Linked DNA regions of Alligator mississippiensis. The protein of the gene in region 2 interacts with the protein of the main gene of each other region in a biochemical or structural test. Links are inferred from orthologs where the notes say so. Each region holds a gene or a part of one and is shown on either strand. Other genes may lie near its edges. The genes, in order: MAPKAPK3, HSPB1, MAPKAPK5 and MAPKAPK2.

Region 1 (7,473 bases), on a different chromosome or scaffold from region 2:
ATTTTAATGGACAAAGTCTAAAAATTAGATTGACATGTTATTACCATGGACTGACTCACTGCTGACTGGATATTTCTCTCTCAGTCCCAAACTGCTTCCCACACCTATCTGCACGTCAGAAGTCCCAATACTCCCACATCAACTTGCCAATATCTCTAGCCCCATCCTTTCAAACTTCCGGAAGTCAGCTATGCATTATCGGTATAGAAATTGGTGTGATAAAAACAACTGAAGACGTGGGACTGTGCAAATTTGTTTCCATGTTATTTTACCGTCACATTTCAGCACTGATTGTATTATGTCTTTTCACATTTAATCCATTAAGCCACCTTTTCAATAAATCAAGCTGCTGAATACTTCTAGTCTGCCATATCAGAGGACTGAAGAATGCATGAAACCTGATGTAGAATTCTGGTCCAGCTGGCTACAGATGAGACCTTGTCTATACTTTGACAGGTCATGCAGTCAATTACTAACAGATTTTTCTTACTTTGCCAATACATGCAGGATATAGGGCTGGGGAAGGAAAAGTGTGGTTGACATTTTCTAGACATTCTAGTTATACTTCAGGTAGGAGTATAGTAGTACTGAGCCCCAAGGCAGTTCACATGACTAGTGTTTCAAACTGCTTACAGACTCAGCAAGACAGGTCTGTACTGGCTCACATTTGAAAGATTAACTTTGCCACTGTTAGACCTAAAACCTTAATTTGAAAAGCTTAAATAATGCAGAAACTGGTTGATCAGCCCAATGGTTGCAAGCAAGTTTTTCCTTGTTCATTTAAAGGCTTCTTGTCACCAAACTGTGCTCACCTTGGGCAAGGGGGTAAATGCATTTGTTGTGATCTGATACATGGAACCTGTTTTAATAGGTTCTACCCTTATGGAAGTACAGGAGGATTCACTCCTATACCCTGAAGTTCCTATTAACTGCCAGAAAAACTACCTAAACTAATAGTTGAAAGAAAAAAGGGGGAAAAAAACCCCAAAAACCTCTCTTAAGCATTTGTTAAGACCTACCTTTCGTCATCTTTTCAACTCCCCAAACCCAGGATCCAGATTGCCTTTAGGTGCTCTTTTTTTGGTATGCTTTTAAAAAAAAAAGCAATTTGAGACATATCCCAATACATTAAAAACTTCCTGATGAGACTATTATACTGCATACAATTCTGAAATAGTTTCATGTTTGCCCACTGTAGAGTATCCATATTTGAAATGCTGGCTAACTTACAGAGGAAGGTTTTTTTTAGTCCAGGCAAAAAAAAAAGCAGAACAATTTTACAATTGAAAGTGGTTATAGAACTTCACTCAGGAACAGTCTGAAAAAAAGCTCTTGGGATTGAACCAAAATGCAGCTAATGAGCTCTGCTCTCACTAACAGTAAACATTCACATGTTCAAGAATTCCAGTACACCTGGGGAATGCATCAATAGACAAGATGGCTTTTATAGGACTTTAAAAAAAGGAACTTTGGCCTCAAAATCATCTAAAAGGTAAAAAATAGCCCACATACCTTTAAAGCACATTTCTGCCCTGTCACCTTGTTAAAACACTCCATTACTTTGCCATTAATGCCCAAGCCTAGCACCCGTTTGGAGAGTTTGTAGTCATCCGTAACTGCGTGTTTTTTTATTTCTAGCCTGACATGGGCAGCTCCCCCAGGCATGGGTTTCACATTGCTTTTGCTGTCCACATGACCTTCTGGCTGGGGCTCCTGCTTGCCCTCACTTTGTTCCATGTCAGGGAGAAAGTGGAGGTAATGGAAGTAGTCACCAGATCCCCAGTTTATCTTCAATAAGGTCCTCCCTGTTCAGCAGATCAAGGCAAGTGCAAAGAGTCCATTTGTTGGAAATTCACTCAAAACTGCCCTGAATAAAAATGTAAATGAATCTTAGAAACATACTTGGGGCAATTAAATTCTACTGTCACAAGCATCCCCCTCCCCACCTTCTCATATTTCATGTGTGGCAAGACCAGCTTCAGAAAGACAAAAAAGTGGGTCCTACCTACTAAAGTATGTGAACAATTTGCCTTGAATCTGTACGCAAGTGACAGTCTGTTGTTATTACCCAGTGTCTGTGCTCCAGTACTGCCTGGAAGACTGTGTGGGCCACGACCCCTAGGTGTTGTGAACTATACAAACACAGAAAATAATAGTCCTTGCTTCAAAGTGCTTGCAGTCACTATTATTGAACATTGCTCTGAATATCAGGCTTGCAGTGACTCCAAAGCCTGATGTTGCTCAATGAAGTCTAGGCCTTAACAAGCCCTGGACTGAAAGAAGTACCTGGTGCACAGACTCAGCACTGGGGCCAGGGACAGGAGGAGGACCTAACCCCAGGGAAGAGGTTACCTAGCCTGCCTGATGCACGGGCTGGAGGAAGAGCGGCTCCACTAATAAGGGCTACCTGCCCATCCAGGGCACAGCAGAAAGTCCCCTGCTCTGGTGCCAGGTGCTGTCCTGAGGGACAACCTGCTGGGACGAGGAAGGCCCCAGGTGATGGGTCGCCCACCCGTGGCAGGGGAGGCACGCCCTGACGTTTAATCACCCACCTTAGGGGTCTGCCTGGGCACTTCCGCAGCGGGTGGGAGAAGCTGAAGGAAACCCCTGGGTGCAGTTCCCTGCCGGCCCGGTGCGAGGGAGGGGCAGGGGCCTCGCGGCCCCGGGGCTGCGCAGCCACCAGACGGCAGCTCGGCCCGCGGCAAGGCGGCTGTGGCCAGTCCAGCGCCGGGCCGGGCCGGGCCGGGCCGAGGGGCAGGCTTCGAGAAGCAGAGCGGGAGGCCGCGGGTGTCCCGGGGCAGGAAGGGGCCGTGGGCGGGCGGGGTTACCTGGCTGCGCCGCGCTGTGCCGAGCCGAGCCGAGCCGAGCCGTCCCGCGCGGAGGCCCCGGCTCAGGCGGGAGGTGCCCGGGAGCCGCCCCGCTGCCCGCCCGCCCCCAGGTGAGTCCCGCGGCCGCCTCCCGCGCTGGGCCCGGGGCTCCGCTCATGTGACTGCCCGGCCCGGGCCCGCGGCGGAGGCACGTGGCCCTCGCGGCTGCCCGGGACGGGGACGGGGCGTGGGGAAGGGCTTTTTTCCCCCGAGCCGCTGGGTGGGCGTTCAGCGGCGACCCCGCGGGGCACGAGCGAGCGGGTGGGTGAGGGGGGCTCCCGAGAGCCGGGCTGACCCGGGCACGAGTGCCGCCCGGCGCCGCGCTACACAAAGCGGCAGCCGCAGACGGCGGCGGGCTCCGCGCTGAGCCGCGGGCGGCCTCTAGTGGCAGGACCGAGCTGCAGCCGCACAACGAGGACCGCAGCCGGGCCGGGCACTTCAGCCTCCTCCAGGGCCGTGTCCTGTTTAAGTCGTCCCGGGATTTTAAACTCGTGAAAGGATTGGTGCTGCAGTCTAGAGAACAAGCTCTTCATTTCTACCGAGGGAAGTTGAGGCCGTTTTGCGAGCGCTCCCTCTGACAGCTCAGCGGCTACTGGACTACCCGAGGTTGATAGTACCTGCGGTCGGTCCTTCCCGCCCTCCCCCGGAATAGGCAGTTAAGGCCTGGGTGCACATCTGACTGCTCAGCCGGGATATTAGAAGCGATGGTTCCCACAGCGCCTGTCACTCGGCGCCGGTGCACAGAGGGCTGTTGCGCAGATGTGAAATGCTGAGTTTTTCGTATGGCAAGATTAGTCACATACTGAAACAGCTGTATCTGTTTCCATGCTAGGTTCCCCAGGTATACGTGTTTGAAGGCTTAAAAATAGATCTGACATTTTACAGAAGTAATGCCATCTGCAGTGCTGGGAGTTAGGAAAACAATTACTAGGACTAATGAGTCCTCTTTTATCAGGAATTAAAATGGGGTTAGCAGAGCAGGGTGAAAGCCTGGAGCATGCCTTCATATGTATGGCACTACAGCCATCCCAGCCTTGAGTTATCTTACTTTTTCAGCGAGTCTGGTGGCCTTCAGCACAGTTCAGTTACTCAGACTACTTGGTCTCTGATTAAGCCGGTCCCTTCTGGGATTGTCAGACTCCAGAGGAAAACACCAATTTTGGACCACAGCTGGGCACAAAACTGTCTTTATCTTTCTCTTCCCAGGATCAACTTCCTTCTAGGCCTAGTAGCCTGTGGTTGGTCTCTTCTTTCTCAACAGCAGATGTCTTTGCAGCATTTCCCAGGGTAGTGACATAAGAGAAGCCTACCCCTACCCATTTTCATAAACCCATAATAATAGGTCTGTCTGCCCTTCTGTAGTCACAGGGTGCCCTACTTCTCCTTAGGGCTTTTTCCTGCCCTTGGACTCCCTTCTGTCCAAAATGGGACAACCAGTAGTAATGGGAGACATCAAGTATCCTCATGCAGACTGGGTAAACACCTCATTGGGGGAAGGTATAGAAATAAAATTTCTGGATGTTCTTCCTAGAACAACTCATCTTGGACCCCACAGGAAGAGAAGCAATTCTAGACCTAATCCTAACTAACAGCCATGGTCTGGTTCAAGAGGTGGTGAAACACTGTAATAGTAACTACAGCATAATTACATTCAACATTCTGGCGAGAGGAAGTAAGCCAAAAAGTCCACCAAGGTAATATACAACTTCAGAAAGAGAAATTACACAAAAATGAGGAAGTTAGAAAGAAGTTTCAAGGAGCAGTCAAAAATGTAAAAAGCCTGCAGGTAGCTTGGAAGCTGTTTAAAAATACCATATTAGACACGCAGGAAAAGTGTATACCACAAATCTAAAAGGGTACGGAGCAGACCAGTAAAACTGCTGCCTGGTTTAACAGTAAAGGACATTCAAGGCAAAAAAAAAAATCCTAAAAAAAATGGAAGGTATGCCCAAATGAGAAAAACAGTAAAGTTCACAAACTCTGGCAAGTTAAAGTGTAAAACCAAAATAAGGCAGGGCAAAAAAAGAATTCGAGGAGCACTGAGTAAAAGATACTGAAGTTAATAATGAAAAACTATCCTCCAGGAATGTATCTAGTCCTCTTTTTAACCTGGCTATGCCATCTACCACCTCCTGTGACAATTTTTTATGCAATGTGTTGCATAAAAAAATATTTTCTCTTGTTTGTTTTAAACCTGTCTCCTAATTTAAGCAGGTTCCTCCTACTTGTAATATTCTGGGACTTGGTGAATAAACAGCTCCCTGTTCACTTGTTTGTCACCCTTCATTATTTTATAGCTATCATATCCCTCTTAGCCTTCTCCTTTCCAAAATGAAAGGTCCTAGCTTTTTTAGTCTCTCCTGGTATGGCAACTGTTCCAGGCTCCTGATCATTTTGGCTGCCCTTCTCTGTACCTACCCAGAATAATATAGTATAATCTGCAAACTTGGATATTGCATCGCCATTATCAGGTCACTAATGGAAATATTGAATAAAATTGGGCCTGGCAGAGATCCTTGTAGGGCTCCACTTTTGACCTTCCTCCATTCTGAAAGTGACCATTTAGCCCTATCCTTTGCTTCCTACCTGGTACCCAGCTCTCACTCCACAAAAGAACCTTTTCTCCAATCCCATGTCAACACAGTTTTTTCAAAAGCCTTTGAGGGACCTTGTCAAATGCTCTTTGAATGTCCAAAGGTATTGTATCAACTGGATCCCCCTTGTCCACATGCTTGTTAACATCCTCAAAGAACTCCGGCAGGTTTATGAGGCAGGATTTCCCTTTTTCAAAACCATGTCTCTTCCCCAACAGATCATATTTGTGACTGCTGATTTTATTTTTAATTACAGATTCTACCAACTTGACAGAGAAGGAAGCGAGACTCATTGGTCTGTAGTTTCCAGTATCAGCTCAGGAGCCTACTTTGAAGATGGATGTTATACTAGCAGCCTACCAGTCCTCTGGCACAGAGGCTGTTTGTAATGATAGATCACAGACTATTGCCAGCAGTTCTGCAATTTCACCTTGGATTCCTTCAGAACTCACAGGTGAATGCCATCCGGTCCTGGGGACTTATTAGTATTTAGTTTATTGGTTCATTCTAAAGCTTCCTCTGTTGTTACTTTAATATGGTCCAGCTCTTCAGACCCATCTACTAGAAAGGATAGATGTGGCACATGGGGATTTCCACAGGGTCTTCTTTGTAAAACACTAATGCAAAGCATTTGTTTCGTTTCTCTGCTATGGCTTTGCTATCCACAAATGCATCTTTTACATCTTAATCATCTAATAGTCCCACCAATTCTCGTTTCAGTGTTACATTGATGTCAGTGGTGTTGGAGGAAAAGCAGGCTGCACTTACTGGTAATCTGGCAGAACCTGCAACAAACACTTCCTTTATGGATCCCACAGAGGGAGAGGAAGTGCCTTGCTCGCAGTCACATAGAATGTCACTGGCAGGGCAGAGCACAGAACCTGGATCTCCCAGATTCCAAGCTAGCACCTGTCATGCTGGGCTATGTTTTCTCCCCCTACTGAACATTACAATGACCTGACTATAATATCAGGCTTCCACTTCCAGCTTGACTGCTGATTCTCCTGTGGAACACTTATGTTTGAAGGGCTCGGGGGTATTTCCAACTGCTAGCTCCAGTGTCCTGAGAGACTACAAACTACCCTGTTAGTTAGTAAGAATTCTTTACAAATGACTGTAGCAACACTGGATGCATGCATGGTAGTGTTTATATATCTTCCTGAAGCACTGACAATTGTTTGGATAGTCAGAAGGATTAGGCCCATGTCTGTTCCAACATGTCTTCCTCTTGCTGTCTATCTAACATGCTTATATGATCTCCTTTACTGGAGCACTGAGCACCTTATCTTTAAGAGTAGTACTATTATCCCTATTATATAAAAAGGGGAAAAGGAAGAGAAAATTAGTAACACCCTACCTATCTGACAGCTTTTCCTCTAAGAAAATGTTTGGCTAATGTTGATGCGTAGGTTATTTACCATTTCAAAGGTGTGCTTGTCATTGTGTGCAGAGTCCCTTCTTATGGAGGCCTAAATTATTTACTTCCAGCTGGTCAAATTCAGGCCCTCCTATATAAATTCTATTCCACCTATTAAGCATGTAAGTAGACTCAGGCACCTAAGTGCAATTTTATTCCACTGTTTTCAAGTCCATGCAAATTCATCTTGCATCTACTTTTGTAATATATCCCCACCTGGCCCTTAAGATTAAGTTAAAAAAAAACCGTGAGGAGGAGGACCCACTGACCTTTCATATGAACTGTTTTTCAGGGACTCAAACAGTTACACTTAAGCTCCTAAATCCAGTTATGTGCCTAGCAGGTGGAAGAGAATGTGCTTCATGGAGTTTACTATAAAGCAAATAAAATGTTCTGTTAAAACAATTATTTTCTATGTATGAACCTCCTCTCCACATCAGAAAAAAACCCCCAAACCAAACCAAACTAAACTAAACTCCAAAACACTCAGAGCAAACCAAAGAATTTCCCCATCCCCAAACTACACAGAAGAACTTTTGTACCTGGAGAGAAGGTTGTGTTGCTCATGAAAATGGTTAAAATAATCACTGCAGTC
Region 2 (7,408 bases):
GCCCCCTTCTGTCTGGAGCGAGCCGCGCCTGCATTGCCCCCCCTGCCCCGGCTGGGAAAATGGCAGCAGGGCATAGCCCCTGCTCCGAGCGCTTCGTTGCCTGGCGAGGGCAAGTTGTCTCTGTGCCCTCCAGGGGGCTGTGGCTGAGCCCGCCCAGCCTCCTTGGCATGTTCAGGATGAGCCAGGGGGCAAGTGCCACTGTGGTGAAGGCGGCCCCAGTTCCAACCCGGGCCAGCCCCTCCACCTGGCAGGTGTTACACTGCCGGGGCTGTGGTCCTCCAGCGTTGTGGGACAGGCCTGGGCTGAAGCTGACTTGGGGGGAGCGGGGGCATGGGCTCTGTGCTGCCCTTGGCTGACCGCCCACCTCTCTGCCAGCCCCGATGTCCTGTCCCATCCTGTTTCAGCGGTACTGGTGCTGGTGCTGGTGGCTGTCCGCAGACGGCAGAGAGCAGAAATGGGAGTGGGGCTGCCCGTGGGGCCTCCTGGCAACAGACAGCCCCGGTAAGCTGCCACCACCTGCACCTGTATGGCCTGGCTGAGGGCAGGAGCATCGCGCTGCCTGCCCCGGATGCCTGCTGCCAGGATGCCTGCCTGGGCTGTGCTGCCCCTGGTGCCCAGGCCCCATGGGCTCTTGCATTAATTCGCCCCTGTGTGTGGCGCCTGGTTTGACTTGACTCGGAGCTATTCTTTTCAGTCATCCATTATCTATCAACTTCCAGCAACCCGCTACCAACCATTCACTGGTTTCATCACAAAGGAGCCCATTGCAGGATTTTCCAGTGGCTGCCTAGGTCTGGCATATTGTGGGATGGAGTCTAGAAGGGCCCGGATTGTGTCAATTCAGGGGCTTAAAATTCATAGCAGTCACTCTTCTGAATCAGGAATTCAAAGATGACACTGCTGGCTGTCACGTTTGATGATCTTCTGTCTAATCAGAGCTCCTGATGGCTGCAGCTCAGGTGCAGCATGTACTCAGGGGACGGCTCTCACGGTTACTCTGACAGATCAGTGCTCTTATATTGCTTTAAAGGAAAAGGAGCCCTCAGAAGGGAATTAATGGGCTCACTGCCAGCCAGCTCCTTGTTATCCACAGATACATTCCTGGTCACCAGGGGAGCATTTAATGAGAAAACAGGGCAACTGCTTTACAAAAATATATATATATATATATATATGTGCAGCCACTCACCTGCCTCTGGGCTTCCCAGTAAACCCTGAATGCAGAGTCAGCTTTTCACTGGTTGTAAATGGATATAGCACTATTGAAATCGATGTTGCTCTGCCTGTCTACCCTGGTTGGGGATCTGGCTCAAAAAGACTGTGGTTTGAAAGAGTCCCTGAACAAAGTAGGGGAGGGGACGATTCATAGGCAATCAGGCCAAGCTATAGGTCAAAGCTTTGTTGGTTTCTTTGGGTTGGGTTGAAACCTGGTTGAATGTGTTGGGGGTTCAGGTGATTCATCGATTCATAGATGCTGGGGTCGGAAGGACCCTCAACAGATCATCGAGTCTGATGATTGTACACTGAGTTTTCCATTAGACTTTGAGGAAGGGAGACTGAGTAGGACTGGTTGAGGACTGCGGGTGGGGGAGGTATTTCATTACCATTCCCTCCTTCACCCACATTTCTCTGATGAGATCCAGGACTGTGAATGTGCTGGTCAGCTCTTGCGCTGATATGGATCGGGTGAGGGAGAAAGGGTGGAAGGAATGTGATTTGTGTTCACATGATTCCCCCGAAGTGACAACTGCTGCATCTGGGGCAGCTCTGCCCAGCAGGCCCGTTGGTGCTGGATTGCTCATCACCTGGGATAAGCCCTGGGTTGTGGGTAAGACTTCCAGGGCCTTGGGAGACAGTGCAGGCAGGTGGCTGTGGCAGGGAGAATGGCTTCTGTCTTAGTCCTAGCTCTGCCACTGACCTACTGTGTCACCTTAGGCAAGTCCCTGTCCAGCTCTGGGCCTCAGTCTCCCTCCCCTGCCCTTTGGGGGCTCTCTGGGGGCAGGAGCTGCTGTTCACCTGTGCGAGTGTATCGTGCCCTGCACCATGGGTTTAAGCTGCTAGGGCTACTTTAAAAATAATGAAATGGATTGAATAATTGATCTGATCCCCACATCAACTCCTTCCTCCATTCCCAGGTCCAGGGACTTTGTAGAGCTGAGGCAGGTGGGGCTCTTCCTTCTCTACCATCTTTGGACTAAACCCCCTCAGGAGTTACACCAAGGAGGGACCTGAGCCAACAACTCCCCCATGCTGAAAGCAGAGGGAGCAACTCACCCTGGGCTGTTATCTAGTTCAGCAAGGCAGCGAGGTCAGGAGGAGAAGGGAAGAGGAGGCAGGGGTCTGGCTGAGAAAGGAGCCAGGGGAAATGGAGGCCTCAGCTGCCAGCTTTGCAGAGGGGCAGGCACTGGAGTGAGGCCACCCCAGCTTCCCTCTAGGTCTAGCATTGCAATGACACAAGACAGCCAGCACTGCCAACATGCACCCCCTGCCCTGCAACTGGGAGAAATCTAGAGGTTTGGGGCCGGTGATCAGATCTGGGGATAGGATCTGGGGGTCTCTAGAGCTGACAAGATCATTATGACTGTGCAAGCCAAAGGGCTGGCACTGCTAGGTGGGAGCTGCAACAGCCTCACAGATCTGGCCTGGGAGGGGACAGGTAGCTCATGCTGGCCACTGAGTTACACATGCAGCAGGCATAAGGTGAGGAATGGGTTCATAGAAAGGCTCCCATGGGAGGCCAATTGTGCTCCAGCCCAAGACAGGAGAAGCTAAAGGCAGCACTCACCAGTGATCTCTACAATGCCATCCTTGGTCTTCACCACCAGCTCCTCTGGGGCAAAATGGTTGACATCTAGGGTGACCTTCCAGCTCTCTGAGGTCTGCCGGATCTCCGAGATGCCACGGCTGAGCTGGCGGCTCAGGGCCTGACTGTAGTCAATGCTGGTGGCAGTGGGCGAGGTGATGATGGGGCTGGCAGCAGCGGCGACCATGGGTGCAGCAGCTTGGCTGGGCATGAAGCGGAAGTAGCCTGGCCAGCTGGTGCCACTGGGCCACTTGTACCAGTCCTCGGGGATGTGAGGCATCCCGAAGGACTGGTCAAAGAGGCGGCTGCCCTGGTACCAGTCCCGGAAGGGGTCCCAGCTGGGGCCGCGAAGGAAGGTGAAGGGCACTCGGCGCTCCGACATGTTGGGCTTCCTGCAGGTCCCACCTCAGCAGCCCGGCAAAGCGAGCTCTGTCTGTACGGAGCAGCTGCCTCCCGCCAGCCCCTTATGAAGAGGCAGCCAGTTATTTTTAGCCAAGAATTTCAGCTCACTATTAATGGAAATTACACCAGGACCGTGTAACTGCTGATGAACATCAGTCAGGCCTGGACTCTGCCAACTTACTCCCAGTCTGTTTGTCATCTTACAGCTGCCCTCTGTCCAAAGGAGAGGGTGGGGAGAGACGGACAGCTCCCCAGCCTGAGAGCAGCATTGATCACACCGCACAATGCAAGATGGGTCAGGAGCAGGGTGGGGCGATTCCTTCTGGAAGGGACGCTGGCACCCCCGTTGGTCTTGGCAGAGAATTTGCTGCTTCACTGTTGACAGAGCAAGCCAGGATGGATGTCTCTCCGCCTTCAGCTCTTTGTTCCTCTCAAATCTCAGGGACACCGAGTCTGATTTGGCAGCAGGAGGAATTGGATGTGTGCCATGAGCTTTCTCAGCCCTTCCTTCAGGGAAGAATGTTACATTTTTAACAAAGAAATCTTTTCTCCCCTGTGTTTCTCAGGGGTCTGAGTTAAATAAGGGGCTTAACAAAAGCAAAGCCCCCTAATTTTAGACTCTCAGAGCAGTAAAAACCCTTCCTAACCCTCTTAATTCAAATTCACAGATTCTGAGTTTTAAAACTAGAAGCAACTATCTAGTTGCCTAGTCTGACCCTTTGTCGAATATCGACCACTCCATTTCACCAAGTGCCCCTGCACTGAGCCGCGGGCATGTTACTTTGACGATATTTCTAATGCCAGAAGCCAGCCATGTTTCCAGGCATTTCTTGCGCGTTCCAAGAGAAACAGGCTCGAGAAGACAAATGGAAAAAGATCAAATGAGTCTGAGCTTTCTCTGTGCATCCTGCAGACACAAAGAAGGGCACAGACCTCTTTTTTTCATTTCAGATCACCTTCAAAGATTCCCACAAAATAAAGCCTTTTAAAATAGAGAAAGGTATTTTTAAAAGCATTCACTGTTGTCCTAACTTTGCTCCAACTGATAAGAAGTGTAAGGCTCCAGCTGGCTTCAGTAATAGCTGGGCCAGTGCCGTGAGCCCATAAGCCACCCTTGCCCATCAGTCTAATGAGAGGAGCGATTTTCTCTCCCAGAATCCTCCGGTGTCACGTGGCCCAGCTCATGTTGTCCCAAATCCCCACTTCTTAACTGTTCTCTCAGCATGTCTTACAGCATGCTTGGCCAAACTCTCCGGTGGTGTAAGCTGATGCCGTCCCATCGGAGCGGATGGAGCCGTGCCAGCTGAGGCCAGCGCAGGATTTGGCCGCGTGTCCCTGCCTGGAATCTTCTAGGTCCTGAGTCACACCGGGCTGCGGCGCTGCTCGTCTCCCAGCCTGCAGGCTCGAAAATCTTGGCAAGGTGGACGGAGATAAGCTTCGCTTGCCAGCCTGGCTGGCTGTCCTATCACATCCTCTCAGTTCGCTCAGGAACTGAATGGGAAGGGCTGTCTGTCACAGACGTGTTCAAATGACCTGCATTTCACACCGGGCTAAGCAGCGGGTTCCCACCGTTTCCTACCCACTGCCGGGCGGCCGACCCCTCTCGGAGGTGGTGCCTGGAGGGTTTTCCTGGCCGGATGAGTTGAGGTACGTGGTGGCCCTATGAATGAGTGATCAGGGAAGCCCCTGCAACCACCCCTCATGTGCACATCGTTCACATGTGCACATACCATCTTCTGTACCCGCTGCAGTCCAAGCCATCCCAGCCGAGGGAAGCTTTCCCTGCCTTTCAGTCTCAGTCCCCTATTAGTTACATGCCAACGCCGTTACTCTGTGTTATAAACAGCTCCTCTCTCCTGGGTCTCTACATCTTCCAGAATGACCCTTCCCAGCAGATGGTCTGTTCTCCTTTAGCTGTTCTCGGTTAGCCCTTGGCAAGCAGGCCGCAGTCCCTCCGGCCTCTTGGCCCTTTTCCTAATTCTTCTCTGAACCCCCTTCCAACTTTCCCTATCTATGTTCATTAGGAGAGCTCACAGGGCCGCTGCTCAGATACACTTACCATGTCTGGACCACAGAGACATGAAAGGCTTTGGCCTTGAGGACACTCTTACAGCTGTCTGCCCAGACCCCAGAGGCAGCTTGGACGAGGCTCATGTTTACCCTTGAGGAACACTAGGCAAGGTCGGTAGCTCTCTTTCTCCGGGATGAGCTTCTCCCAGCACCTCTAGCATGGCAGGCTAGACTATGCCTGATGGTGAAGGCACAGGCTTGGGAGTCTCCAGGCTCTGCCACAGCTGACTTTGGCCAAGTTACTTTATCTTGCTGTGCCAGCTCCTCAAGGGCAACAGGCCACTGGTCTCAGCTGGTGCCTCAAAACTGCTGCAGCATACATGCAATGCAAAGGCACAGCTTGTTGGCCAATGCTTAAATGAGCAGGACTCTCCAGGGGCTGCTTGACCTTTATCTGGCTTGAGCAGAGTCTGTGTTTTCACATTTTATATACAATCTGCAGAGGGATCAAGGGGAACAAGTGACACGTGTGTGTTTGTGTGTCATGGTGAGAGACAGTGGCAATGCATAGGGGGTGGACATGCACCCCTGAGAGCACCGGTGCACCCCCCTGCCCAGCCACGCTCGTTGCTTAGGCAATGGGCAGGGAGCAGGTGGGAGCACTGGTGCCCCCCTGCAGGCACCGGCTGATTGCTGCAGCTGCTCCCAGAAGTGGCTCCAGCCCCGGTTGGCTGGACTGGTCAAAGGGGGGGCATGTGCCCCCCTGACTAAGGTGGCACCAGGCACCCATGGTGAGAGAAGAGCTTTGTTGAGGTACAAAGCAGCAGGCCTGCCCGCAAGTGTCCTTGCTGCGCTCCCCCCTATCGTGTTGCAATTGGTCGGGTTGCATTTGAGCGGTGGTGGCTGTTTTCGTTCAGGCTGGAAAAAACCTCTCTTTGGCAGCTGCCTTGCTGACAGCGTGTGCCAGGGTAGGGGTCGCTGGGTTTGCAGATGGTGACGTCAGAAACTGCAGGTGCTCATAACCTAGCAAGCGGGCTGAGGTCAGGCAGTGCAGAGCGAAGGGGAGGAGGGTGAGCACGAGGGTTCAGTGGGTGGCTGAGGGAAGGGTGGGTGAGTCATGCGCACGTGGCTGGGCTGGGGGGTTGGACCGGCTGGTGGATAAGTGGCAGCAGAGGAGGGGGGGGAAGTGGGTAGATAAGGCCAGGGCAGCTTGGGCCGTGGGTGGCTGGATGACGTTCGACCTCCTGAAAGCCAGGAACAACAGTGAAGCACCATGTAGGTACTGGAGCAAGATGGGGTTACAGGACCCTTTCCTGGAGCTAAAGTGCACAGGGAAGGGTGGAGTCAGCCTTCAGGGGGGCTGTCAGGGCCCAGGGCTTGTTATACCCCACGATGGGCTGCCAGCCCTATTCCCCACCTTGCCAGTGCTTTTCTGCCAGTGTGGAGCTGTGCCCATGTGAGCTGCACACGGCCTTTTCCATCAACGGCATGATGTGCCAGCTGGTCCCCTTCTTCCCCAGTTTGTTGGTTTAGGCTCCACAGGCTGAGGTGCCCCTGCTATCCAGTGCCCCATCTGGCAGTGACTGTCCAGTGCACAGTTACTTGCCTTCACCCATCTTTGTGTCCTGGAGCTGATGCCCTTTCTCACATGGGAGACACTCGTTCAAAGTCAGAGCCCATCTGCTGCCCTGCAGCTGCTTGACATCCTGGGAGCTAGTGCTCAGCGCAGTGAAGGCAGGATGATTTATAACCCCAGGCCCCTGTGCAGTTTCCAGCCACTCCTTCCTCCTTCCAACTGCAGCTCTGTGCCCTCCCTGCCCATACTGCCCCAGCCCCTCCTTCCCTCTGCTTCCCACAGATTCAGCCCTGAAAGCTTCCTAGTCACCTGAGCCAGCAGCACAGGTTTGAGCTGGCCTGCCAGCCCAGCTGTGCTTGCAGTGGGCACCTGTGGCCTCTTTATGGGCACCCCGACAGACTCTTTCATGATGGGCTGGGGCAGCCACCTTGCGCTTTGTCTTAGGTCTCTGAGGAGCCCTTCAGCCGGGCTCTGCAGGGTGTGTTGAGCCACAGCTGCATTAGACTTGCTACCTTCCAGTCTATGGGCAGGGTGGGGACATTAATGGTCCCCAGGCTACAGGGGAGAGGCTGAGTGCCCCCATGGTCTGCTCTGTAGTCAGCTGCCATGTCCTCCCT
Region 3 (7,157 bases), on a different chromosome or scaffold from region 2:
CTCAGCAGACCTAATCTGGGAGAAACGGGAGTGCTCCGTTTCTAGATTTCCTAGGAAAACTCTACACACACAACTATTAGCTGCCTAACATATAGATAAATAATATTATATAAAAAAGATTAGCCAGCTACCATGAAGAACATGCATAAACCACGTGAGCACCTTCATAGAGAACAGGGGTGGCAGGTGATGGAATCACTGTACTGAACATTCAACACAGCAGGGCCCAGTGGCATAAACTAGTTTGATATTGTCTGGCAAGGGACCAAAATCACAACAGCTCAATTCTGTTCATACAAGCATGCCATGATGGCGCCGAGATGCTGAAAATACGTTCGGCCTTATTAAAGACAGAGCCTAGATTAATACTTGTGCCCTTTGCCGTTAGAGTTAGCGATCTAAAACTCCAAGGAAAAAGAGCATAGAAGAATACAGGTGCTGTATGTTAATACAGTTCCCAAGAAAAACATCTTAAACTGGTCCTGATCCTGAACATCTTTCCATAAGAAAGTCAATAAAAACTAAAGAACGGGGCCAAATGTTCTAATCTGTCAAGAGAAACAAGGACGCAACAGAAGTCAACAGGGGAGAAAACAGGAGAAGACGACTTTTAAAAGGCTGTGCAGAGACAGAAATAAACCACCTGCCAAGTGACTGTATTTAGATCTGGACTTCTGATGTGCATAGAAACAGAAAAGTGGCCAATCCCAATCCACGCTCTGTTCTACCCATCGGTTTCCCTACCCTACAAGGTCTGAAACAACCGTTTTCCAGTTACCACATTTCAACTCCGTGCACGATAAATGCGTCACTAAACAGTGGGAACTAGCACAATCGGAGAGGTCACACCTTATACCATGAAACACACGATCTTTATATGAGGCAGATGATAGTGTCCCGATGCATTACTGACATGCTGCAAGCTCAAATTATGTGGATTTTATTTAAATGAGACAAAAACATTTATTGCAGCTGGAGCATTAATGTTGACAGGAAGCCCCCAGAAAAGATGTTCTTGAAGGCAGGTTTTGGAAAGGGCTAGAGCTCATACATTTGGAGTCCTTAACATTACTTTAATTAAACTGATTAGAGCTAACAGCAATTCCAGCAATCTTGGAAAGACATGTTAAGGAGCAGATCAGAGTATCATAGAGTAGGGCTGGAAGGGACCTCAGGAGGTCATCCAGTCCAACACCCTTCTCAAGGCAGGATTGCCTTGGTGTATGTTTTAGTCTATACTCTGTCATTTTGCTACAGGGAGTAGAGTGAGCGACAGGTAAAAGGAAAATACAATCTTAAAAAAGCCCGGTCTTTTGGCTAGGAACGCACCAAGAAGAAGGTATAGTGTGATGAGATCCACTGTTCCTATGCAGTCCCAACCCACAGACACTAACAGACACCGGAAACTTGAAGCTTTGTCCAAAGAACAGATAAAGGCACAGAGGGGTTTTTTTGGTTTTTTGTTTTTTAACTTCAATATATATATTTTTTTCCACGTAAAGTGAATCCGAACTTAGGACAACCTACTCCGAGGACTACACTTACTAAAACTCTATAAAAATAATTCATATGACCCAACAGCAGTATTCAAGCAGCACGTGCATGTTGGCAGGTCGTCTGGAAAGTCATTGGCTAAGCACCTAGAACCAGGGTTTGGCAAAGAGAGAAACAGCGTTTGACAGCTGGAGCGCCTTCTGCGGCCGCAGAGAAAACATTCGGCCTCTTTCAGATCGGTTCGGTCCAATGACTGGTTCATCCAAGTTTAAGAAACTGAGAGTTGAAAGAGCAGGAAAGCTTGTTTCCCCCACAACGCACTCCATGAATAAAAACAAGGTACGATAGGCTGAGATCTGTTACTAAAATCTTGAAGGACGTGGCCACCAGAAACAATCAGCCCAATTCACTGACTACAAATAATACTTCCTTTCATTAATAAATCAGGCAGCTCTAAATCTAACATACTGGCTTTATTTTCCTTCTGCACCCAGCACATTTAATAGGTTTTTATTTAAGTAATAATAATTGTTCAAATGCTGCTTTTCTGCATTTGTAGTTGAAGTCCAGTTTCCATAAGATCGGCTTGACAAAGCAGGAGTAAACAAAACGTCACGTAACTGGCCAATAACTACTCTCCAACTATTTGGGTTGGTCTAATAAAAGATATCAGATTCACCCAAGGAACCTGGTCTAAGGACATAGGCAGACAAACACGGCTACAACCTCCACCCCTGGCCAATGAGACACTCATTTCCTAATATACTAAAGTGTAAACATTAAGGACCCCGGTAAGCGTACGTTAAGCTGTTTATGTCTATTATGTCCACTTGGTTAGCAAAAAAGCAGCGTTGAAATCTTAGGATAAAGGTTCCATTTATCTGCAAAAATCAACGTCTTAAAGAGAGTCTGACTAGCGCAGGTGGAAGAAAAACTGAAACGTACAAACGCGAGCAAAACTAACGAGAGATTTAAATCGAGGCTTCGTCTTTCCTGATTTAAGTCAATCCCTTGTAAATTCAGGTAGCAAAGGCCGGAAGAAAGTAACTCGGACTAAAAGTGCTGCAAGGCACAGACCTCGTGACGCGACTGGGAGGAGAAGTCACGCTGAAGAGCGTGCACGTGCTTTATCCAAAGCGATGCAGTTTCCTCTTGAAAGTGTTTTACCGCTACGACTGGAGGGATTTTATATTTCCTCACCGTCTTAAAAATCAGCCCGAGCGTTCGTTCATAGTCGCGTCACCGTGAGGTGAAGGATCCTCCTCCACCAGACCCGTGCGAGCGGTATATTTTTCCGTTCACCTTGCAGCCCAAGGTAAGTCCCACCTTCTCTTCCCCTCGGGCACAACCGCGCCGCGGTCAGACCGAAGACACGCAACACAACGGCGCAGACCTCTTTTCCGCGCGCACAGACTCGTTCCCGCGAGGACGGGCCCAGGCGTCGGGAAACGTGTCAACTTCTGCTACGGTCGGGCCGGACCGATGATCTCGCCAGGTCCCGTCCAGCCCCCATGTCTACAAAAACCAGATGCAATCCAGCCCCCATGCCTACAAACCCAGGTCCCGGCCAGCCCCCATGCCCACGAAGCCAGGCCGCGTCCAGCCGCGGGGCCGACACAACCAGGTCCCGTCCCGTCCCGTCCCGTCCCTCCCTAGGGCGCGAGTCCATGAGGGCGCCGCTGCCGCCTACCTTGATCGTCCGCTCCATGTTGCGCTCGTCCGACATGGCCCCGCGGGCCCGGGCCGCGCTAGGCGACGGGCAGCCCCGGCGGAGCCCGCCTCATGCCGCCCGGCCGGGCCGCGGCCGCGCTCCGCCCGGAAGCCGCCGAGACGCCGCGGCCGCCTGGGAGCCGGGCATTGCCGGCGATGGCGAGGCGAGGCGGGGCAGCCCCGCCGGGCCGCGCGGCGCCCCGAGCCCCCCCGAGCGCCGCCGGCACAGCCCTGGCGCGGGCGCGCGGCCCGAGCGCTGCCCCCCCGCGCCGCTCCCCGGATTTTAGGAGCCCCCTCCGACGCGGCGGAGCGCTTGACAGGCACTCGCTTAGCCTCCTCTGACAAAGCGACCGCAGGGGCCTAAAGACCCCCACCCACCGGGGGCCTTGCAACCGCCGGGCCCTTTCTTGTGACGTCACCGCGCACTGGCGACCATCGCCTCGCCCCTCAGATGGAAACGTCACCGAGCAGGTTGGTGAGGCCCCGAAGTCTCGCGAGATATGAGGGCTATAAAAGCAGCGCGCGCAGCGTTCTCTTCGCCATTTTGTGAGGGATGGGTAGGTTTGTTAATAGCATCGTGAATATTGTTGTAGTAAATAATAATCACATTCAAAACACTCCTTACTAGGGAATAATTAATATTATTATGCTAAATAATAATTATTAAAAAAAAGACTCCTCACTGGAGAATAATTAATATTTTAATATTAAATAATAGTAAAAAAGACTCCTCAGTGGGGCATAACTAATATTTTTATAGTAATACTATTATTCCCCACTGAGTTGCTTTTATTATTATTATGTTAAATAATATAGAAAAGATGCCTCAGTGGGGGAATAATATTATTAAATAATAATGGAAAAGATGCCTCAGTGAGGAATATTAAATAATAAAAATAAAAAAGACTTAGTGGGGAATAATTAATATTATATTAAATAATAATGATAGAAAAATGCCTCACTGGGGAATAATTAATATTATTATATTAAATAATAATAAAAAAAAAAAGACAGGGAAAGAGCTGGTGCCTCGTAGTCGCGAGGTGGTGGGGGCTAGGCCAGGCTCAGGCCCCCTCGTGCCTCAGGGCGCTGGGCCCGCGCTCTGCCCCCACAGCCTCGTCTCCTGCCTCCAAAAACGAGGGGTCAATGGCTCCTGCGGGGGCCGGCGGACGAGCGAGTCTCACCCTGGCGCCCAGGCGTGCCCGGCCGTGCTCTCGGGCGCCCCGCTGGGTGTGCAGGCATGACTGGCAAGATCAACCCAGAGGCTGCAAGCGATGCCTAGTGTTAAAAATAATTCTGACTTTGTGGTCTTCCTTAACTTGGCAACAGAAAGCCCGCCGTCTTATTTTCCATCCTGAAAAGAAAGAGCTGGCAGTTTCCGAGACCCACCTAAAGCGCGAGTCCGAGACGGTTGAGGGGCGCTGGCTTTGCCCCTCGCGGGTCAGGCCCCGGGGCCGCTGGGGGCAGTTCTTCCAGTCGGCATCAGGAAACGCCTCAGACCCGTGCGATCTGGCCCTTGCTGGGTGCGAGTTAACGGGGAGCGCATGAAAGTTATCCTCTTCAGGACCCGTGCAGAGGTGCAACTGGAAATCTTAACTGGCTCCCTTTTCAATAACAAATCACCCTCTACTTGAACTTGGATGCTGCACTGTTAAGACACCCTGTTTTTAAAGTACATTTACATTTTTTTGGACCAGTGCTGGCCAGCACCCTCCCTCTGGGCTCTTGCTTCTCTATCGCAGCATGGTTGATCAAATAACCGGTAAATCAAGCAGTTCTTAGGTCACCGCTTTCATCGAGCCGGTAGCTGCGTTGTGTAAAGAAGGGGCTGCGTCTCCTGATCGCTTAATAAACAGATGCAGAGACCGTCACCATCACGGCAAAGCCCCATCGCATGTTAGGACGACTTAGTGGCCTGTAGATGTCAGTCGAGTACCTTCAACTGACAGAAGTATTTCCCCATCATCCCTCCTACTTCTCAACTCTTTAGCTTTGTTTGAAGATTAATACCGAGGGTGAAGAACTTCCAAGAAAACCTCGCAGCACTGAGTCAGGCCTCAGCTTTGGTTTCCGTGGACTTCATGCCAATGTGAAGAATTATGCCAATGTCTTTTGAAAAAATAAATAACATCTCCATGCTGTTTAAATCAAGCAATGTTTAAACACACCAGCATCCATGAAATATTCAGCCATAATTCAGGATCAGCTTTATCAAGTAGAACAGGCTGAACAGGACAAGCATGTTTATTATGAAAGCTATATGTAATGCAGGCAGATTTCAAATGACTGTTTCAAGGTGGCAAAAAGGTTTATGCTTCAAGATTCCTAGTATTTTACATTTTGAAAATCTGAAGCCATATGTACTCCCAGAATATCAGAAGCCAGTATTACACAATCAATCTTGGCTGCTTATAGGACCCAAATCCTGCTCGCAATGCTGACATAAATCAGTGCCTCGTGGTAGACTGAAATTTGGCAGAGAGATTTATTATTTAAAAAAAACACAATCATCCACCCAGCCAACAGTAAGCTTTTAATTAGCTGATTTTGAGGAACTGTAGTTTTCACAATGTGTCCAAATGATGTTTTTAACATTAAAAAGAAAAACAACCCACATTAGAGACTTCAGATACGAATGCAACAAGAAATTACCTAAACGTGTCACCCGTTAATGTAAAAAGATTCGTGTTTGTTATCAAAAAAATTAAATGCAACTGAGGTTTCAGACAGGTAAAGAACACAGAACTGCCTCAGGCACCTTTTCTCAAGAATATTATCTTAGCATTTAGTTATATTTAGTACTCTTCACTTTTGTACTTATGTTTCTGTTTGCTTTGAAAAAACATTTCCCTATTTCCCTACCCTGGTAACCTTCAGTTGCACTGGAGTCTTCAAATGCACCTTGCAGTGAATACGTCCTTTACGAGTTCTTCTGTGGGATTTTGATTGTTACCTGGAAACAATAACATGGGTTACTTTCCTTCGTGTCAAAAGCACGTAAGGTTCATTTTGTTCACTTCTATGGGTCTATGCTGTTACCCTCTTGCTGTTCTGCTCAAGTGTAAGGACCATGGAAGAAAAGGAACTATGCTCCAGTTATTAAAGGTGCTGATTGATATTCAACTTCCTATCCAACAGGCAAAACTCCTTTCAGGCAACATACATTATTAATCACGCAGCCTTCATTCCTTCTTCAAAGGAGTTAATTCAAGAGGCACAATATTTTGAGTAAAATTCAGCATTACCTCATTTACAACTAAATTCAATTAAAACAAATAGATTCTAAGAGGTTTCTCAATTACAGCATTCAGTGGAATTGGTAGCAGATGAGTTAGGACTCTTGGGTTTCATTTGCGAGTCTATGATTGGCTATGTTACTGATCTACATTGAGTTACCATCTCCCTTCACACACTTCCATGAAGTTTTGTTCACTATTTGTGCTGGCATTTTGCAAAGAATGAAGTGCTACAGAAGTGCCAGGGGTGTAGGTTGTAGCCGTGTTGGTCTAAGGACACGGGCAGACAAGGTTCTTTGGGTGAATCTGGTATCTTTTATTAGACCAACTTAAATAGTTGGAAAACAATTATTAAGCAGGCTTTCGGGTTCAAAAACCCTTCGTCAGGCTAAGGAAGTTTCAGCAGTTGGTGTGTGCACTTCCTGGATGGAATGAAGTTTCACACCAACTGCTGAAACTTCCTTAGCCTGACGAAGGGTTTTTGAACCCGAAAGCCTGCTTAATAATTGTTTTCCAGCTATTTAAGTTGGTCTAATAAAAGATATCAGATTCACCCAAAGAACCTTGTCTGACAGAAGTGTCAAGCTTTCTCCCATCCAAGGTTAAGGGAGCAAGCTTGAGATGTCACGAAGAATGACCCAGTTTCCATCTGCTTACGTGGTGTGAGAAGGCATAAAAAGCCACATCCTTTTGAATTTCTCACCCCACTGCCCTCAT
Region 4 (8,307 bases), about 25 Mb from region 2:
TCTTCTCGGTCCGGAAGGAAGAGAGGAGAATGATGGGGGTGGGGACAACGTCCCAGCAGAAACATTCCCACTTGAATCTGTCACGTTCCTTTGCCTTGCTGCTGGATCCGGCACATCTGCAGGCACTATTGCTTAGCTCACACATGGAAAGATTTGGCCCCACGTGGCCACAGCTTTCCATCTTCATACAGGTCCCAGAGGTAGTGAAACAAGGTAGGGGGTGGGATTTAAGCTGAAAGGTAAAGGCTGTGATTTATGTTCCATTTTAATGCTATTAAAACCCTGAGCTGTGAGAGGCATTTAAGCACAACCAACGAAACGCAATCGAACACACACCGTGGCCACGTGGCTGGCGGAGCAGGATAGGACAGACAAGAGCATCACAGCTCAGAGGCCCTGCTCTGAGCTTAGCCCGTATTTTGATAAGGGACAGCTGCTGACTCAAGGCATCCCTTTCCCTATGCCTCACCCTGCCGCTCTTCCTCTTTTGTTTTTTCACCCAGAAAGCGTACGAAACTGCTATTCAAACAGTTGAGTCAACTTTCAAATTGATGGAGCGAGCAAGTCTGTCAAAACAGAGGTTGATCCTACTCATTTACAGTCGAAAGGGAGGGATGGTGGGGGGAGGAAAAAGGGATTTAATGCATGTTCCTCAAGCGCAACAGTGCGGCTAATGAGAAATGTCAGCCTTTTAGACAAAAAAGTTACGCACGTGTCACTCAGCAGAATAACCCCCATTTCTTTTCCCTAAAATATTAGATCTGCAGCAGTAATTTCCCTCCCCCTTCCTCTACACATCTCAGCAGACACCGGCACCTGCACCTCCCTTCTGAAGGAGGATCCTGATTGATGGGGGATCTGCACATCAAGAAGGCTCCTCCTTTATTGTGTTGAGCTTAGCAAGCCCAGCCTTAAGCAGATGTCCTCATTTAAAGACCAGTGAAACACAGGCAATCCAGAAGCTGGCTTGGGTTGTGGGTTTGGTTTTGTTTTTTTAAATCTTCACAACGAACCAGGTAACAGAGTTTCGGAACAGCAAACGAGTGGGAGCAGATCGCGTCTAAGATGTGGAACGCTCCCCGGAGGAGACGGTTCGTACCCATCCCACCTGATGCTTAGCACTGCATTGCATGAATAAACTTTCCCAGCTTCCCCGCAGCAGAGAAACACTGTCCCCTTCTCCAAAGGCTCACTTGAGAAAAGGGAAACCATCACATTACTGTGGCCTGGTGTGTATACTTTAGCACACTATTTATATAAACACCTTTCAAGCAAAGGCATGTTACGGACTGCTATATACACACACACAGTGCCACCAAAAAGCACCCAGCTCTGGGATGGAGAAGAGGAGACATTTCGTGTCTACAACGTAACTGCTGAAGAGGATTATTAAACAAGGACAACCAGACCAACTTCTGCATTGACAGAGTCCTACCAGAGCCTGAGCGTCTGCGCACGGGAGCTGGAGTTGTACAACGTCACCCAGAAACAAGCTGGAACAAATCTTCAAGACTGGAGGCGACTTTGCCTCTCAAACTTGATACTTAGGCCCTAGAATCAACCCCTTGCCACATTATTTTGTATGGTTTTAAACCAACTCACGGCCCAGCTTTGCCCATGTTAGCGGGCAGAAGTTTAAGTGGGGGCAGACATTGCACAGCAGGGACGGAAACAGTAGCAACGCCACGCAAGAAAGCCAGAAAGTGAAACCGGCTGCCCCCATTTCGTTGTTCAGCCCAGGTACAACGCATAACAAACCCCAGCGGCACGGAGGGCAGGACGTACACTGGATCTTTTTTAAAGGGCGTTTTCATTTTGATGGAGGGGGGGCATCACAGGAGCTCTTTTGTCTCTGCAGTTTCATAGATTTGCTCATTCTACCCCGTACCGAGAGACTGCTCGTCTTCGCAACCGGCTGTATTTCCGTGTAACAAGACAGCAGACATGTTCCATCACTGCTGGGCGGTAACTGTTGCTGGTATTTCTCACATCCCCTCTCCCCCAGCCACAGGAAGGAGTGGGAGAGGGGGGGGATCTACAGGGAAAACCAGCCACCCCAGCACCAGGGAAGTCCTCCTGCCAGCTAATTCCCAAGGTGGGAGTGGAGGGTTGGGGGGGGAGGGGGGGGGGGATGACCTGTAGCAGCCGTCAGGAAGGATCCATGGCCGTGTTGCCAGAGCCACCATGGAACTGAATTCTCCACCCAGACACAGGCCAGTCCCTCCTGGCGCTGGTCACTGGAGGGCCTGCAGTGCTTCCAGGGGGGCTCCTCTCTCTCTCCCCACCCCAGCCCTTTCGGACACACCAAGCCTGGGAAAGGCTGGGAGGACCCTCACCCCACACAACCCCTCTCTCTGCCAACGCCAAGTGCTTCCTCGGATCCAAAGAAAACACGAGGCCAGCCTCGCACACAAAAGCCGGCTGGGAGGGAAGAGGGGGCAAAACCCAGCAAGGATTCTGGGGGCTTTTCCCAAGCAGGAGGAGGAGCGCCCTGCCCTGCCCTGCCCTGCCCTGCCCTGCCCGGGGGGAGACCACAGGCAAAGCCAGGGGGCAGGGTTGGGACTCCTGGGTCAGCCCCAACCCGGGGCAGGGGACAGGGGGATCCAGGACAGCTGCCCCCACCTACCTTGAGGGCGAATTTCTCCCCCGTCTTCTTGCTGAAGATCTCCAAAACTTTCCCGTTGATGCCCAAGCCCAGCACCTGCGTGGTGACCTTGTAATCGTCCGTGATGGCGTTCTTCTTGATCTGCAGGCCCGCCTTCACGTGGAACTGGGGGAACTGCTGCTGGAGCGCGGGGTGCGGCTGCGGCGGGGCCGGCGGCGGGGCCTGGGCCGGCGGCGGCTGCTGGGGGGGCGGCGGCGGCGGCGGCGGTGGGTTGGGGAACAGCGCCGGCGGGGTCGGCGTGTTGGACAGCATGGCAGCCCGGCCGGGACGGCTCCTCTCCCCGCCCCTCCGCCGGAGGAAGTTGGAGGGCAAGCGCCGGAGAGGCGCCGCGACCCGCCGGGCTCGGCAGCAAGCGGGGCAGCCCCCTCCGCGCCGGATCCGGGCGGGAGAAGCGCCTCCCCCCCCGGCCCGAGCCCCCGCCCCGCCCCGGGCCGCCGCGATCGCCGCCCGCTCCTCCGAACCCGGAGCCAGGAAAGGGAGCGCTACAATGTAGCAACCTCGCCCCCCGGGCGGGGCCGCCGCGCGACGTCACAAAGCCCCGCCGCGCCGCCATTGGCTGCCGCGCCCGCGGGGCGGGGCCGGCGACAAGGGGGTTTAGGAAGATGCAGGGGGAAGAAACAGGAGCCGGCGGCGGGAGAAGAGAAGGGCAGGGTCGGGCCTTGGTGTTGTGGGCCGGATCCTTCCTGGGAGTAAACCCAGGTCCCGGCAGGGTTGGACCAGACCTCCTGAGGGCCCTTCTTACCCTCGTTTCTGGGAGGAGAAGTTTCTGAAGCCAACCCCGGTTGGTCTGGCCTGCGGAGCTGGAAGGAAAAGAAGGAAAAAAAGTCCTCAAGAAAGAAAGTAGCCCCCATCCCCTGCCCCGCAGCAGTCCAGCCACTTCCATCCTCCCAGACCTTAGACTTACACCAGCGTCACCAAGCCTGAGGCCTTCGGGTGGTCCCCATCCTAGGAGATGAAGCGGCTGTAAGGAGATCCCCGTGGCCAGCAGACTGGGCTTCCATAGGAGAAACTAAAGGTAGCCATATCTGTTGGGTTCACTTAGGTCCTGGCAGTGCCACCAGCTTTTGTGCCGACAGGCCGCTTGTCCCCACCCAGGGAGGGCCAGGTGGTGTTAAGAGGTCATCGCTCAATTCCAGGAGTCCTCTGGCCTCTGAGAAAACAAATGGGAAAGTTGTAGAAAGAAACCTGGAAACTAGTTCCTTTTGGGAGGCAGAGAGAGAGTGGCCGGCTGGATCCCAAGGTGCCAAAACAAGGCCAAAGCAAACTTAAAATCAGAATTTATCATACTGCCACACTGCTCTGTCCAAATGCAGAGACATCGCTTTGAATGGGCGACAGCAAAAAGAAGCTGTATAGAGGGGACCCATACCCAAGCTATGCCCTCCTTGCCTTTGCTATCAACAAATGCCTCGTACAAAGCACGTCGGCCTCGTCTTGGCCTCGGTACATGGGCGGATTTTACCCCAGGTACACAAATGCCACCACTCGTTCACTCAGAGATCCCCAACGAAGGGCTGAAATCTGGAGAGTTGGCTAAGTCCGCAGGAATTGTGGGAATCCTTGAAAAATGAGTACATGTGATTAAAAATTGAGTGGCGCTTGGTACACAAAACGCCAGCAGCTCAAGGAATAGTCATTTCCCTTATGTCCCCACAAAGAAAACACAAGGCAAACGTTAAAGGTTCTTCCGCCATCTCATGCAGGCCCTTCTGCATTTCTAAGACACTTTGTTTTTAAGCAGGGAGGAGCAGGTGGGGAAGGAATGCTGCATATTTGCGCACACGCTATTACAGGGGAAGCCTTTGGTAGCTGTCGGCTCTGCTCAGCCATCAAGAACAATGCTGTTCAGTTTGTGGCCGAGTGTTTGCCAAACAAATGTAGAAAGAGCTGCCATCAGCACTGAAGATGCCTTGTTATTCCACACACTAACCTGGCAGGATGGAGGAATGAGGGTTGTGTCTTCTGTATGGAGACCAGGCCACCACAACAAGCCCCAAAATTGTTCATGTGCGAGTCAGGACAGAGGCCAGAGGTCTCGGTGTAGATGGGTCCAGTGCCCACCAACCCCTAGACAGAAAGGGGCCCCTGTGGGTCATCCTCAACCCCATCCCAAAGAGATACAGAGGGAAGGGATTTCCCTAGTTTTAATATGCTGCTTTCCCCAGGACCCCAACAGCTTTAGGAGAAAAACGTAGTCTCTCCTTAGGACAGCAAGGATGCCATAGCGGGCAAAGCACCAGTCTCCAATGGATGAGAGAGGTTGCAGGCCCCAGCTCAGCCACACACTCTTTTGCACAAAGGTCAGGTCATCTCTGCCTTGTGCCGAGAGATTACATTCAAGTCACCACCCAGGGGTGCTGGGAGGCACTCGCATGCTGCCGTGATAGAGGCCCCACACATGCTGAGATAGATCTCATCAGCCGTGTAGCATCTCTGGAGATTTTGTTGGGGTCTTTATTGCCCAGGAAGCCATCAGAGTGAAAAAGAGGAAAATCAGAAGGTATTTTGTTCTTTGATTTAAAAAAAAAAATAAAATCCATAGCGGGAGTTTGAGGCAAGGCAAGCTTCCAATCTTCCCCTGGGGAGGGCCTGTTAACAAGCGTTAAGCAGGTTTTCACTTCTTCCTAGCACCCGTAACACTCCAAACATCAATGGGTTAAGAATTGCATGTGCCCAACCGCCCTGTTTTCTGATGACTGTTTATCTATGATCAATTCCCAGGAAGACAGGGGACATGAATAATAGAGCAGGCAGATTGAGTGTCAGTGAAAGGGTAGGAGGCGAGAAACAGTTCTGCAATGAACAAAGGACATCCCAAAGATAGCAAATTAACCTGTGCTCCCTGTTCTATCCAGAATCCAATAAAGACACCAGCATGCTTCAGATGTGAACGAAGAGATAAGGAGTCATCACTGAGAGCCAATATATCACTGATCAGCCCAGCGTCCAACAAGAGGCAATGAACAGCTCTTTATCCTGGGCTAAGGTTCAGTGGAAATTTTTCCTCTGGGGACAGAAAACAGGAAGTGGCCTTGCAGTATTGGTCATTAATAATCCCTGGTTGTCTTTGTTAATTAATTTACAGAATTAAATATGGTGCTGGTCTCTGTGACACGTGATAGTGTCACTGCCACTAAGAAATTTTTCTCCCTGTGGTTGTGGTTTCCTGGGCCTCTGTACAGTGATGAATTTCAACCCGAGGCCCTGATTCAGGAAGGTGTGCAAATACTTGCCTGACTTTAAGCACATACTCAAAACCATTTTTAGGTTTCAAAATATGCCTAAGCCCCTTATTTTGAAAGTGACTGAAGCCCTTTGAACCCAAGATCTATTTTCTTCCAATGGAACTGAGGCTCCTAAGCCACTTAGGCACTTCTGAAAATTCTCCCCAATGAGATTATTCCCATGTTTGCAGGTACACACAGTCCCCAAAGCCACAGACACATAAACAGCATATCCTGGGAAACTCCTCGCTGCCCCAAGAAAAAATAGTTGCAGCTACTTGGTGGAGCCCCTTGAACCTTGACACTTGGGGATAGAGCCTAATTCACCTATAAAGGACACAACAGGCCACAGAGACTTGCCTTCTCAGCCCAGGTGTTAGGTTTAGCCCTACACATACTTCCAATCCAGGGGCTTGGGGTTTCCCCCATTTTAACATCAAGGGAAATCATGACCTTGAGAAAGTAAGGACATGAAATCATGGGGAAGATGTTACATCTGCAACATGCTGGATCTGAACTGAGCCCCAAAAGGCAACCACTTCAAACAGAAGATAGAAAAGTACACTATAACAGATGGAGCTACAGACACCACATCACGGTGGGAGAAGCTAGAACTGGTAGCTCATAAGCAGTACAATCTGTGGAAGACTTCATTTTCCATCTCTCAACCCATACCTTCCACGAACAATACATGCCTTTCAGGTTTCAAAACCACACCGATAAAATAAATCTACCAGCTTGGAAATGTATATCATGCTTTTTTAAAAGCCTGTGCTTTAAAGCTAAGTACAGACAGCCAGAAAGCCCAAGGCTGAATTGATTCAACCTTCGCAGGTCAGTCTAAACTGCATAGATTGAACCGATAAGCAAGTGAATAATTGTTCACTTTTGATTCCAGAAATGCAGCCACAGACCTGCAGTGGTTTAGGCCAGGAACCAGGGTGCACAAGAGCACACCTCCCTGCTCGGCTGAAGCAGGCAGCTTGAGCTAAGTCTAGCCCGCCTACCCTGCAAGGGTGGAGGTGCAAAGCATGCTGGGATGCTGGGGGTCTGAGAGTTAACTTGAATCTGGAGCGGATCAGGGACAGAAGTTCAATAAACCAATTTAACCTAAATCCGTTAAGTCTGATACATCCATCCAGGTTTATCTTAAACTGGTTTCATCCATTCTGAAAGTGGTTTATGTGCACTGAACTTCTGTTGCATTACAGATTTGAACTGGTTTGCAATCATTTATACCGGTTTATGTATAATATCTGTCCCTGGTAGAACAGCTTATCTTCAACTGGCTGAAGCAACAAGATGCACCAGCCACTTGAAAACGTATCATATCAGTGATGACTGCCTGAGTTGCTGTCACTCAGCTGTAGAGCTATTCCTCAGATGGAAGAATGATTAAACCCACAGCTGTCACTGGGCATGGCTACAAATAATACTGATGATAAAGAATCAATGTCTTCCAGGCTCAGGGTTTTCATCAGGAGACCATTACCCTGCTCCATTGCTGCTTAAGTGCTCACAGTACGTGACTATTCCCCTCCTGAGCAATTCCTGGACTTGCAGCATCTCACAGAACCTATGTTTCAATCAAGATTTTATCAGCCTCCATTGCCCTGATTAAGAAGGGGTCTCAGGGTGAGAGTTAAATGCCAAGGGATTCATAATGATGCATCGTAGAGGTCAAAAACTCATTAAAGCTGTTTGAGTAGTCTGGGGGTGGACGGTTGTGCAGATGCTGAGAGACAAAGTTTTGCTTTGCAGATGTATTTAGGGTCTGCCAGGAAGCTGACAGACCCACTTCCCCACCTCTGCTGCCTGCTCCAGAGTTGCACAGCACAATTATGAAGATATCATTTGGAAATGCAGGATTTGCCAGTGGAGAGACTATTAATAGGCATATTAATCATCTCCAGGCCTTGTCTAAGACCAGGCCCCATAGAGCTAGACGCTGTAAATGCATACAGGGGAGAACTCCTGCCCCACACATCCTATGGTCTGAAGAGGTTAAACACAGGGAGTGAGAAGGAGAATTGTCACCTCCATTTTACAAGCTGGAAAGCAGGACCCAGGGAGATTAAATGACTTGCCCCATGTCACACAGCCTGCAGCCAGGCCAGGAGATAAAATTCACACATCCTTTGTCCCATTGCAGTCCGTTCACCACAGGACTTTCCTTTTCCCCGCTAATCCTCCGCACCCAGCATGTGCCCTCCATCAATGGCTGTGATGATGTTTTAGTAGAAGATGAAACATCTCTGGGACCCAAGCATCTGCTGACTTCAATAAACCTGCAGCAGTTTCTGAAGGAGACTGCTGGCAAACCTGGGGCCTGTGATTACACAGAACAGGGGGTGTTAACGTGCCATTTCCTACCTAGGAGCCAGCCCCCGCATGACAAACGGATGGATTTTTTTCTCC

The links.
Region 1: of the proteins of HSPB1 (region 2) and MAPKAPK3, one has a biochemical effect on the other in vitro, tested with the Homo sapiens proteins (2 studies listed by BioGRID and IntAct). The link is inferred for Alligator mississippiensis from reciprocal best matches to the Homo sapiens genes HSPB1 and MAPKAPK3.
Region 3: of the proteins of HSPB1 (region 2) and MAPKAPK5, one has a biochemical effect on the other in vitro, tested with the Homo sapiens proteins (4 studies listed by BioGRID and IntAct). The link is inferred for Alligator mississippiensis from reciprocal best matches to the Homo sapiens genes HSPB1 and MAPKAPK5.
Region 4: of the proteins of HSPB1 (region 2) and MAPKAPK2, one has a biochemical effect on the other in vitro, tested with the Homo sapiens proteins (17 studies listed by BioGRID and IntAct, with this or other methods). The link is inferred for Alligator mississippiensis from reciprocal best matches to the Homo sapiens genes HSPB1 and MAPKAPK2.

Annotation. Positions count from the first base shown.
Region 1 is NC_081835.1:45,274,559-45,282,031, reverse strand, and holds the start of MAPKAPK3 (MAP kinase-activated protein kinase 3), read right to left. Parts: upstream 3,186-7,473; 5' UTR 2,986-3,185; coding exon 2,829-2,985; intron 2,785-2,828; exon of another isoform or gene 2,553-2,784; intron 1,868-2,552; exon of another isoform or gene 1,806-1,867; coding exon 1,513-1,805; intron 1-1,512. UniProt on the Homo sapiens protein: Stress-activated serine/threonine-protein kinase involved in cytokines production, endocytosis, cell migration, chromatin remodeling and transcriptional regulation.
Region 2 is NC_081837.1:16,992,161-16,999,568, forward strand, and holds the start of HSPB1 (heat shock protein beta-1), read right to left. Parts: upstream 3,199-7,408; 5' UTR 3,186-3,198; coding exon 2,786-3,185; intron 1-2,785. UniProt on the Homo sapiens protein: Small heat shock protein which functions as a molecular chaperone probably maintaining denatured proteins in a folding-competent state. Plays a role in stress resistance and actin organization.
Region 3 is NC_081833.1:3,714,040-3,721,196, reverse strand, and holds the start of MAPKAPK5 (MAP kinase-activated protein kinase 5), read right to left. Parts: upstream 3,338-7,157; 5' UTR 3,221-3,337; coding exon 3,185-3,220; intron 1-3,184. Other genes in the region: ALDH2 (aldehyde dehydrogenase, mitochondrial), read right to left, coding at 6,125-6,157. UniProt on the Homo sapiens protein: Tumor suppressor serine/threonine-protein kinase involved in mTORC1 signaling and post-transcriptional regulation. Phosphorylates FOXO3, ERK3/MAPK6, ERK4/MAPK4, HSP27/HSPB1, p53/TP53 and RHEB.
Region 4 is NC_081837.1:41,799,595-41,807,901, reverse strand, and holds the start of MAPKAPK2 (MAP kinase-activated protein kinase 2), read right to left. Parts: upstream 3,011-8,307; 5' UTR 2,918-3,010; coding exon 2,627-2,917; intron 1-2,626. UniProt on the Homo sapiens protein: Stress-activated serine/threonine-protein kinase involved in cytokine production, endocytosis, reorganization of the cytoskeleton, cell migration, cell cycle control, chromatin remodeling, DNA damage response and transcriptional regulation.